Arabidopsis thaliana: one gene and its partner. The protein of the gene in region 2 interacts with the protein of the main gene of each other region in a pairwise test. Each region holds a gene or a part of one and is shown on either strand. Other genes may lie near its edges.

What was found. Proteins that work in one complex are often made in the same cells at the same time.
Region 1: the proteins of AT4G20930 (region 2) and ATARD2 interact in a two-hybrid assay, tested with the Arabidopsis thaliana proteins (one large-scale study listed by BioGRID).

What each region holds. Positions count from the first base shown.
Region 1 is NC_003075.7:8,424,203-8,428,647, forward strand, and holds ATARD2 (RmlC-like cupins superfamily protein), read right to left. Parts: upstream 2,270-4,445; 5' UTR 2,159-2,269; coding exon of another isoform or gene 2,141-2,158; exon of another isoform or gene 2,074-2,140; 5' UTR 1,973-2,073; coding exon 1,949-1,972; exon of another isoform or gene 1,811-1,948; coding exon 1,699-1,810; intron 1,624-1,698; coding exon 1,529-1,623; intron 1,343-1,528; coding exon 1,228-1,342; intron 1,151-1,227; coding exon 1,026-1,150; intron 946-1,025; coding exon of another isoform or gene 943-945; coding exon 872-942; intron 759-871; coding exon 695-758; 3' UTR 501-694; downstream 1-500. Other genes in the region: ORC1A (origin recognition complex 1), read left to right, coding at 1-463; PPD1 (TIFY domain/Divergent CCT motif family protein), read right to left, coding at 2,882-2,889, 2,973-3,160, 3,226-3,289, 3,481-3,540, 3,907-4,003, 4,092-4,182. UniProt on the Arabidopsis thaliana protein: Catalyzes 2 different reactions between oxygen and the acireductone 1,2-dihydroxy-3-keto-5-methylthiopentene (DHK-MTPene) depending upon the metal bound in the active site.
Region 2 is NC_003075.7:11,197,589-11,202,965, forward strand, and holds AT4G20930 (6-phosphogluconate dehydrogenase family protein), read right to left. Parts: upstream 3,519-5,377; 5' UTR 3,449-3,518; coding exon 3,335-3,448; intron 3,024-3,334; coding exon 2,935-3,023; intron 2,829-2,934; coding exon 2,714-2,828; intron 2,528-2,713; coding exon 2,377-2,527; intron 2,248-2,376; coding exon 2,165-2,247; intron 2,034-2,164; coding exon 1,938-2,033; intron 1,807-1,937; coding exon 1,664-1,806; intron 1,562-1,663; coding exon 1,477-1,561; intron 1,370-1,476; coding exon 1,290-1,369; intron 1,127-1,289; coding exon 1,039-1,126; 3' UTR 663-1,038; downstream 1-662. Other genes in the region: GHR1 (Leucine-rich receptor-like protein kinase family protein), read left to right, coding at 5,140-5,377.

The DNA.
Region 1 (4,445 bases), 2.8 Mb from region 2:
CGCGCTTGAGATATGCAGGCGTGCAGCGGAAGTAGCGGATTACCGTCTAAAGAAGAGTAACATATCTGCAAAGAGTCAGCTGGTGATTATGGCAGATGTTGAAGTAGCCATTCAAGAGATGTTTCAGGCACCTCATATTCAAGTTATGAAGAGTGTATCGAAACTGAGTAGGATCTTCTTGACGGCTATGGTTCATGAGCTTTACAAAACAGGAATGGCAGAGACAAGCTTTGACAGAGTAGCAACAACAGTATCGTCTATTTGCTTAACCAATGGTGAAGCTTTTCCCGGTTGGGACATTCTTCTCAAAATCGGTTGTGATCTTGGTGAATGCAGAATCGTTCTTTGTGAACCTGGAGAGAAGCACAGATTGCAGAAGCTGCAGCTTAATTTTCCAAGTGATGATGTTGCTTTTGCATTGAAAGACAATAAGGATCTTCCATGGTTGGCCAATTACTTGTGATTTTTTGCTAGTTTAAGGAAAACTTTGGAGAGATTGATAATGTAACACAGTTTGATTTCTGGAGTATAAACTATAAATACAGTTACAACACAACCATAATGCCAAAGCCACACGAATCAAAGTTTCTTCACAAGTGGATCTGTAGATGACATAATATCCAACATGAGACAGAAAGCTCTCTTTATTGTATGCTTAGTTTATAGAAATCTGATGCATAAGACTGAGAATCCTCTAGGCTGACGCGTCTATGACACCACCTTCATTCACCTTCACGAAATTATCGATGTACTCTTTCCTGTAAAATAGCCGTTTCGATATCCATAAACAGCTTTTCTCGTGTCTTTTCTTGGATGAACTTTTGCAGAGTAAGTTTTTGATGAGACAAAAGGGGAAAACAGAACATTGTACCTTGCAGGGAGGTGGTCGTGTGGGCGATTGTATGGTGTCCAGACCGGTTCACCCACGAAAAGCCGCATTGCCTGCTCAACAAGATATTTCAATTTTCTAATCAACCAAATATATATATGATGAATTAACCACTCTGAAGAAGCTAACATTGCACCTTGATATAGTTGTCTGAGTCTACGGTGAAGCGATGATATATTCCAGCAGGTAAGACTATCATACCTCCCTTCTTTACCCATACTCTAATCCAAGCTTCATTGCGATCCCTCACATCAAAGTAACCTTTTCCCAAGAAAATGAAACGTTGAGAATATAGATACCGACTTAAATCAAGTAAAGCAGCCAATAAAAGTACTTACCGCTTCCTGCAACGCAGTAACGGATCTCTTCATCAGTGTGCAAATGTTCTTCGAAAAAGCTCTTCACTTTCACTTCATAGTTTGGAAGCTTTTCCGGGCATACCTCACAAAAGTCCTGCATTTTGAACACTTTTCCATCATCAAACCAAGACTCAAGCACATAAAACAATTTGCAAATCATCAACGAATTTTCCTAAATACATTCAGTAGAGTAAGTGTTACAATTGAGTAAAACCCTAGAGAGTTAAAACAAGACTTGTTCAAAAGTAAACATCTAGCATTCAAGTCTATATAAACAAACCATGTAAGAGTAACCACGAGATTCGCGGATCTTTTTCAAATCCTCATCGGTTTCATAGTTATCAGCATCAAGTCTCCAGCTAAGTACTCCCAGCTCTGCACACAAACATTACATCTGAAACAAATAGAGAAACAGAGAGAAGAACACTGAATTGAAACACACAAAGAGACCTGCAAGTTTGTCCAAAGATAGAAACTCCTTAGGATCCTTGTGGTGAGGAAGTCTCTGATCCTCTTCGCTATCATCCATATACCATGCCTGGATCACTTCTTCTCTTCCATCCTAAGCAAAAACACACATACACAAACACAACAAGAAAACATAAATTTATGATGCTAAGCTTGAAAGAGAAACAAAAAACGTTCAGCAATTAGTGAAATTTTCGATTGCAACCTCCAAGACAAAGCCTGAATTTCATACACAACAAGTGAAACTAGAAAACATCAAATTTGATGATTAAAATAAAACAAAAATCAAAATTGGAATAGTGATCAGTGATTGAAGACCACTTAATTAACAATCGGCGGCGATTCATGTTTTCATAGCTGAAACAAGAAATTTTCCGATGAGCTTTCACGAAATCAGAATCAGAAGCAAGAGATTTACGATTACCTTAACCACTTCACCCATGGTTGTTTGTTCCTCTTCTTCTTCGTCTTCTTCGTTAGGCTTTTTATGATTCCTCTTCGTCTTCAAATCCACGCGATATATGCCTTCTCTCCTTTTCAAAAGAAGTCATTTTCGTTTTATCTTTTGGGACAAAAACAGAGAAAAAGGTTAAAAGACTAAACTACCCTCCATCCGCCGGCGTGCGGCGAGGGAAATGCCGCCTCCACATATATCCGTTTCAGACTATTTATCACATTTTTGAGGTTTGAGAAAATGTAAATACGTTAGTTAGAGTGGTAATTATTGTAAAAAAGTTAACAAAGTTAAAAGTTAAAAACTGGGTTAAAAATGGACAAAAGAAGAGAAGTTTGGTGGTGTCAAAGTAAGACTCGAGTCGAGAGTAAGAAACACTTTGGCTAAAAGGTCTCTCTCGTTAAAAGTGTCAAGTAAGACATCATTTACACATTACAACACCTAGAAAATGAAAGCCCTTCTTTCACCTCTCTTGTCTCTACTCTCTGTGACTATATCCTCACAAAAAGAATCAGAAACAAGAAATTACCACTAACCTACTAAGCTCTACTCAAAACTATAGACCAAAAATTATGGGTGCAAAACCCCGGAAACACAAAAGAAGGCCGATCCGAAGAGAGGTTTCTTTTCTTCATATCTTTGAGCTTACAAGCAAGCAACTGTTTCAACGCCTATTCACAGCTTATAGCATCTCCACGTTTCGGTATCTTGTTAAATGCCTGGAGACCAAGCGAGGAGAGTTATGAGGGAAATCATCCAAACCACTGATTTAACAAAGCTTTATATATGATTCTCTTCTTACCTTCACTGTTTAGATCAACTGAAAGATTGGGACTTTTTGTCTGGCTTTCAGGTGACTGGCTATGCAGTGGAGATCCGGTGCAGCCTAGGTTTTGCGAATATGCAGCTTTCATCCGTGGCTGACAATTCAGAAACATCTCCAAGCTAGAGGACGCAACTCCTGGACACTTTTTGGCCTTTGAGAATTTTCTGCACATTACGAAAACATATCAGTTTATAGCGATTTTGGAATAAGCGTAAGTATATAAATGCACCTGTCTTTCCGCTTTTCACGATATCTTTGCAAAGATACCTTTCTGTTCGCCTGGCCCTCCATACCTTAAGAACGACCCAAAAAACATAGAACGACGGTTAGATTAATAAACTTCACAGGTCATATAACATGCAGAACAACAAGCAAGCCAAGTTTCCTCCAAGTTAACAACATTAGCATAGCTTTGCACAGGTGAAGATGTGTTGATCAAGTTTCGCTCCGAGAATCATTAAGGTAATATGAATACTGTTCATACCAGAATCACGAGAAGAATTCGCCTTCTCAAGGCCTTTTTGGGGAAGTTCCATCATCTTCTCTGCAATAAGATTTCACATTTTCAATTTGATTTTTGACTAATTCAAACTAGACTCTGAAGAAGGAAAGTGGAATCACTATCACAAAAACATGCAAGAGGCATTTGGATATTTTACGCAAGGTAGTATAGCACAATGCAACATTTAGACATACTTCCTTGGTCAACTACCCATGCCTCCTTTCAAAGTTGGACAAAACAAAAGCAGTGTTTGCAAGAAGAGAAAATAAATAAAAAAGCTCTACTGCGTCAGAAAAGCTGGTCCATGAACTTTTTCCAGTTTGATGATACACAAAACAAAATCATTTCATGTTTGAATCATCTATCTATCAACTGAAAAACAGATCAGACACTTTAGCAAAAGCTTACCTTTACTTATGAGCTTTGAAATCATTCTACTGGAAGCAAAAATACCGTTTTCAGGCAAATCAATTGGATTGGCTGCAAAGTGCATGATTGACCGGGCCTGCAAACCAATACAAAGGATGAATGATCAAAAACATGCCAACAAAATTTCTATTTTCAGACTGGACAGAATAATGTTATTGATTTACCTTTTCAGGTGGTATTCCATCATACACATTCACTTTTCCACTATAGAATATCGTCATTTGCCCAACGAGCTCACTTGTTTCAGCTGGGCTTCTGATGCAAGATTACAGACAAGAATGTTTAATATGCTTGTAGAACAACAGGCACATGCAGCAAAACCTTTTCTTAAGCTTTCGTAGATGGACTAGGGAAAAAACCCTCTAACTTACAAAATATCATTAAGGAATTCAAGTAACTAATTATTATTTCAAGTCACATCAGTCATATTGACTATTATTTTCCATTTCTAAAGAGATCCAGGATACTAAGACATAACGAAGATGATCTTCGATCACACGATCGTGGCCAACCTAAAT
Region 2 (5,377 bases):
TGAGGCTTCTTTCTACACTGAGACAAACAAAAGAACTATCTATGATTCATATAGATACTTCAAAGATCATGAAAGATGGTAACTTCAGTGCAAACTGTACGGCTGCTCACTGCACAGAACCCCAAAAAACTAGGGTTTTTGAAAGAGATACAAGATGATGACCTAAATTCGGAGACTTCAGGTTTTAAGACAGACAACAGTAAGATGAAACAGAGGAACATGAGTCAAAAGCAACGATTTTTCGCGCGAATGAAGCAGAAAAACAGGTAGAGGTTGAAGTAACATTACGAGGAACGAATTGTCATAAACAGAAATGATGGTGTGATGAAGTCGAATTTCAGAAAGAACCCATAAGTAACGAAGCGAAACACAAGAAGAAGGATCAAAGACGTACCTTTGAGTGTTGAGGGAAACTAGTTTGAGCAACAGAGAGAATGAAAAAAGTTGGGAGATTTCAAATGTAGCGGTGTGCTGAAGAAAGCGAGGGTGGTTGTAGTCATTTCACATTGTAGATATTAACACAAACAACTGTTTCCGTAATTGTACCGGAGATTCTGCAAAAATGGTTTGGTTCTCTCATTGGTGACGAAGGTGAATCTTCATTAACTTTAGGTAAATAGCCAAGAATGATTAATAATCAAATTAAATACGAATATAGATAAGGAAAATGGTATATTTACGGATTGGTTAGCGAGTAACACTGTTAAGAAATGTAATTACACCATAGGTGACTATTGTTTGAATTGTTGTTGACTTTTTTCCGGGTAAAAGAAAAGTTTAGAACTTTGACTCTGAGCTTTGTTTAATCCTCTCTATAGGATCCTTCATGCTTTATTCTTCGCTGACCTCATAACTAATTGATTGGTGATTCCAAGAGTAATGTTCAACACCAGAGAGATGTTCTCAAACTAATTACAATTCACATCGCTTATTAACATCACAGCCTTTCCAAGACTTTTATTATTCTTAGCAATGAAAATCAACAATCTAAATGCACAAAGAAACCGGTTATTTTGCAGGGTCGTTGTTAAGATTGTCTCAGACCTCATCTTTCCCATTGTAAAAGTGTCTGAAAACACAAGAGAAGTCCTTCGTTTCATGTCCTTCCTCGCACATCTTCTTGTAACTGCAAAAACAAAAAAACAAAATCTTCAGCTTGATGTGTGTGCTTTTTGCTTCATAAGAAATTTCTACGTTGTTTCCATAAAGTTTCATTCACAAGCCTTCTTTGTTCACAACAACTCATAAGGAATAGAGCTTCTAGGAGAAAAGACTACTGAAGTACTCACATTTCTTGTGCTTTGGATATCAATGGGCTTTTGTGTCCAACTTCTTCAGCTGAGGCTGCTGCGAGGTTTAGGTCTTTAGCCTGCATTTCCAATACACTATATACATGAAAGACTTGTGTAACAAAAGAAATGTGCTTTAGAGACATTTTACAGGATCAATGATATAGAGATTTCTTAAGAAACTGACCATAAGTTTGGAGGCGAAACCGCCATTGTAATCCCTTGAAGATGGCACACCTTTCATCACTCCTGGAACTGGATTGTATGCGTCACTGCGGTTATCATAATATAAGGAAAGGAAGTTAAGAATTTGGTGTGCTTGCTCTTGATGAGAAGACGATTATAAATTTGAAGAGGTCATTTCATTTACTTACCTGCTCCAACAACGGCCACTAGATGTGTTTAAGACTTCTGTTAAAGTACTGGCAGATATTCCAAGTGACTGACCAAGAGCTAAGGCTTCTGAAGTGCCGAGCATACTCACGGCCATTGCCAGATTGTTACAAATCTTTGCGGCCTAAGTTTAAAACAAAACATGTCGTTTCTCAGTCTATTATCCTTAAGAATTGTAGAGACAAATATACCAAAGATCAAGATAATAGAGATACTGTAACAGAGTTACGGAAACATGGTATAAAGCGAACTTACAGATCCATTTCCTGAACCACCACAGTAGATGGAGGTTCTGCCCATTGACTGAAGTATTGGTCTAGCGGCTAAGTAAGCATCTTCGGGACCTCCAACCTACAGAACGTGCAGTTGTATCAATGCCATTGTGCTCTTGTAGGTATACAAGCACACATAATCTTCAAACTTGATGTTATATAAAGGATGTGATTCAAATAATGTAGAAGATAAGAGAGTCGTCAACATACCATGAAAGTAAGTGTACCAGCTTCTGCAGCAAGAACACCTCCAGAGACGGGAGCATCCAACATGACTGGCTTTTCCCAATTATCTACATCAAAGATGCTTGAAACTAGTGAAAATGAAACAATCTCGACTTGTTCACAAGAAGAACAAAATGAAGCTGTTGTTAACTCATAAGAAGAAACTAACTTCCTTCCAAATCCTATCTAAGCTTTACCTCTCTTTTCTTTCAAATTACAATTAGAAACAGCAAGTGAGATTTTTCGAGTTGTTTGTGGATCAATAGTGGATGAATCTATAAACAAAGCAGGTCTTATATCATTTTCTCCAAGAAGCAACCCATTTGTTCCTGTGTACACATCCATCACCTACATCAATCACAATTTTTTTTCCTTCATAAAAATCATCCAATCAATTGAAGATTAACATTCTTTCAGTACCAGGAGTAAACAACAATACTATCTCGTAGACTAGGTGCAGCTAATCATACAGCTAACAGGACGATCTTTCAAACTGTTTTCATATAAAACTATTGCTAAAGGTAAATAACTTACATGAGATGATGAAGGCAACATTGTAATCACAACTTCGCTATCTTGTGCAACTTCATAAGGAGTTTCTCTAGAAGAGACTCCCATTTCAGTGAACATTTTCATAACATCACGGTTTCTGAAAATTCAAACACAAGTATATGCACAAGAAAGTTAATCAAAGGAATCAACATTAACCAAATATGAAAATTGATAGGCAGCAAAACGCACTCAAAGTACATTACATGTCATGAACGGTAACTTTATATCCAGCTCTAATTAGATTATTCACCATTCTGAATCCCATATTTCCAAGTCCTATGAAACCAACATTCTGACAAAACAGCAAAAATGAGACTTCATTTACATAAATTTTGGGTACTGAATCAGACAAATTTTGCTGTTAAAAATCTAATCCAGACAACTTTTTTTGCAGAACTGATGAATTTAGATAAGTGGTCAAGATCAATAAGCAATTTGGCCACTAAAATTCTTATTAACTATGCTCGAGATTACAAAAGTTAAGATCTTTTATTCCAACTACCTTAAGGATCATGTTTTAGAACGTTTCAATAAAATTCTAGGTGACTTATGAGGAAAAGAGATTATGTTTTCTGATCATGAAGACAATTTAAAAAGCAGAACCTGGAATTGATTTGAATTTTGAGACGAAGAAGAGAACCGGTGGAGCGACCCAGACACGAAATTGGTTTTGAATTTAGAAAGACAAAGTAGAGTTTGCGCTCTGCGAATCGCCATTGATGAATTTCTTCAAACTCAGAGCAAGTTAACAATTAGCAAATGAGAGTGAGTTTTAGACGTAAGTGTGTAATCTCATCAAAACACTCAGATTTTTGTTTTTTGAATTATGACCCCTTAACTATTAATTTATTCTGAACCCGGACATTTACTTTCAACATTATCAGTAGAACCCAAATAATTGGTCTGATGCCCTTGTCTCTTCCGGTCTTCCCTAGTCAACGTAGTCAGCATGTGGGACCCATTTTCCTACGCGGTATTTATTTCGCTTCTACATTTTCCTACTAATTAATGTGGTATCAACTTCAAAAATATTTATTTGTCCGAATATTCATTACTATTTTTTCTGGATTGTTCAAAAAATCATGTTTCATTTACTACACATTTTCCTTGCAAGCTTTTAATATCTGTATTTTGGTGTAAATAACATTCACTCCGAACTCTCATTACTCTTTTTATTTTCCCTATTATTTATTTATGTAAATTCATTTATTGCAAGTTTCTACCAAAATTTATTAGAACACTGCGCAATTTTCGCTTATTTTCCCAATGCTGTAAATCTCTCTCACTAAAGGCAAGGACATAGACTCATAACCATATTGGATAAACCCTTTCACGTCCACCATGGTCACACTCACTAAAAACATTAGTGTAAGTAGCTTTTTTCATTTTTTTTGGATTCCTTTCCCGGGCCATTCCAGGCGGGTAATTAAACTATATTTTAAATCTTTCCTCACTGAAAAGACTATGAAAAAGTAAATTAATATATAATTTTCTTCTCGTGAACCCATGAAAATAATTTCTTGCTATTTTACTTTTTATTTAGGGTTTTTGATTTGGTGTCCGTTCACACGCTTCAAGACTTACCCTTTTACAAGGTCCTTGTCGTTCGTCACTGTCGAACGTGAAAACTAGCAAAACATTTTCTCTATCTTTAATTTTGTTTTGGCTTCTTTCTTTTGTTCTTAAACAGTGACAATCTTTTAAGGGTTTTTAATTTTTAAAGTGACCCACAAAGATTTCCCTCAGTTAGCTCAGTGACTCAGTCTACAACACTGTTGAGCTTAATCCAAAACCCCGTGCAGTTCATGAGCTAATGAACAAAATGATTCTGCTTTAAAGTTTTTGTCTTCCTTCTTCTTCAACTCTGTCGACATTGTTCTTGCAGTGAGAAGCTTTTTTCATCCCCGTAAGTTTAAAAATCCTCACTTTTCATTTATCTCTTTGCTTTGGAGTTAGGTTAGATCTCGGAATGGGACCCAAATATTGAATAGCCCATTTGTTCATTTAATGTTTTTTTCAGCTGATTCCCTTTGAGTGAAGATTGTCTCTTCTCACTCAGTAGCATTACTGCATTTTGTTTGATTGGGGTTTCTCAGAAGATTTGTTCATCTTAGGTAAAGTTTCTTTCTTTAGCTTCTGTTTTTTTTTTTATCAGAGTGAAATTTCTGGTATTGTTGATTTTTGCAGAAAGATTTAAACTTTTTTTTGGTAACATTGATGGGTTTTGTCTTATTTCATTATGTTTTATGTCAGATTTACTTGGGGTTCCATGAATTTTCTGCGTTGGTGAGCTGGAAAAGTTGTTGGGATTCTTCAAAAACTGTAGCTTTTTGGGGGAAAAGATTTGAAGTCAAGGAAGGATGAATCTTTCTAGGATTTTGTTACTCTCCATGTTTTTTCTATCTGCAATGGGGCAACTTCCATCACAGGACATCATGGCATTGCTTGAATTCAAGAAAGGCATCAAACATGACCCTACAGGGTTTGTCCTTAATTCATGGAACGATGAGTCTATTGACTTCAATGGTTGTCCTTCTTCATGGAATGGTATTGTCTGCAATGGCGGTAATGTGGCTGGTGTTGTTTTGGATAATTTGGGTTTGACTGCTGATGCTGATTTCAGTCTGTTCTCCAACTTGACAAAGC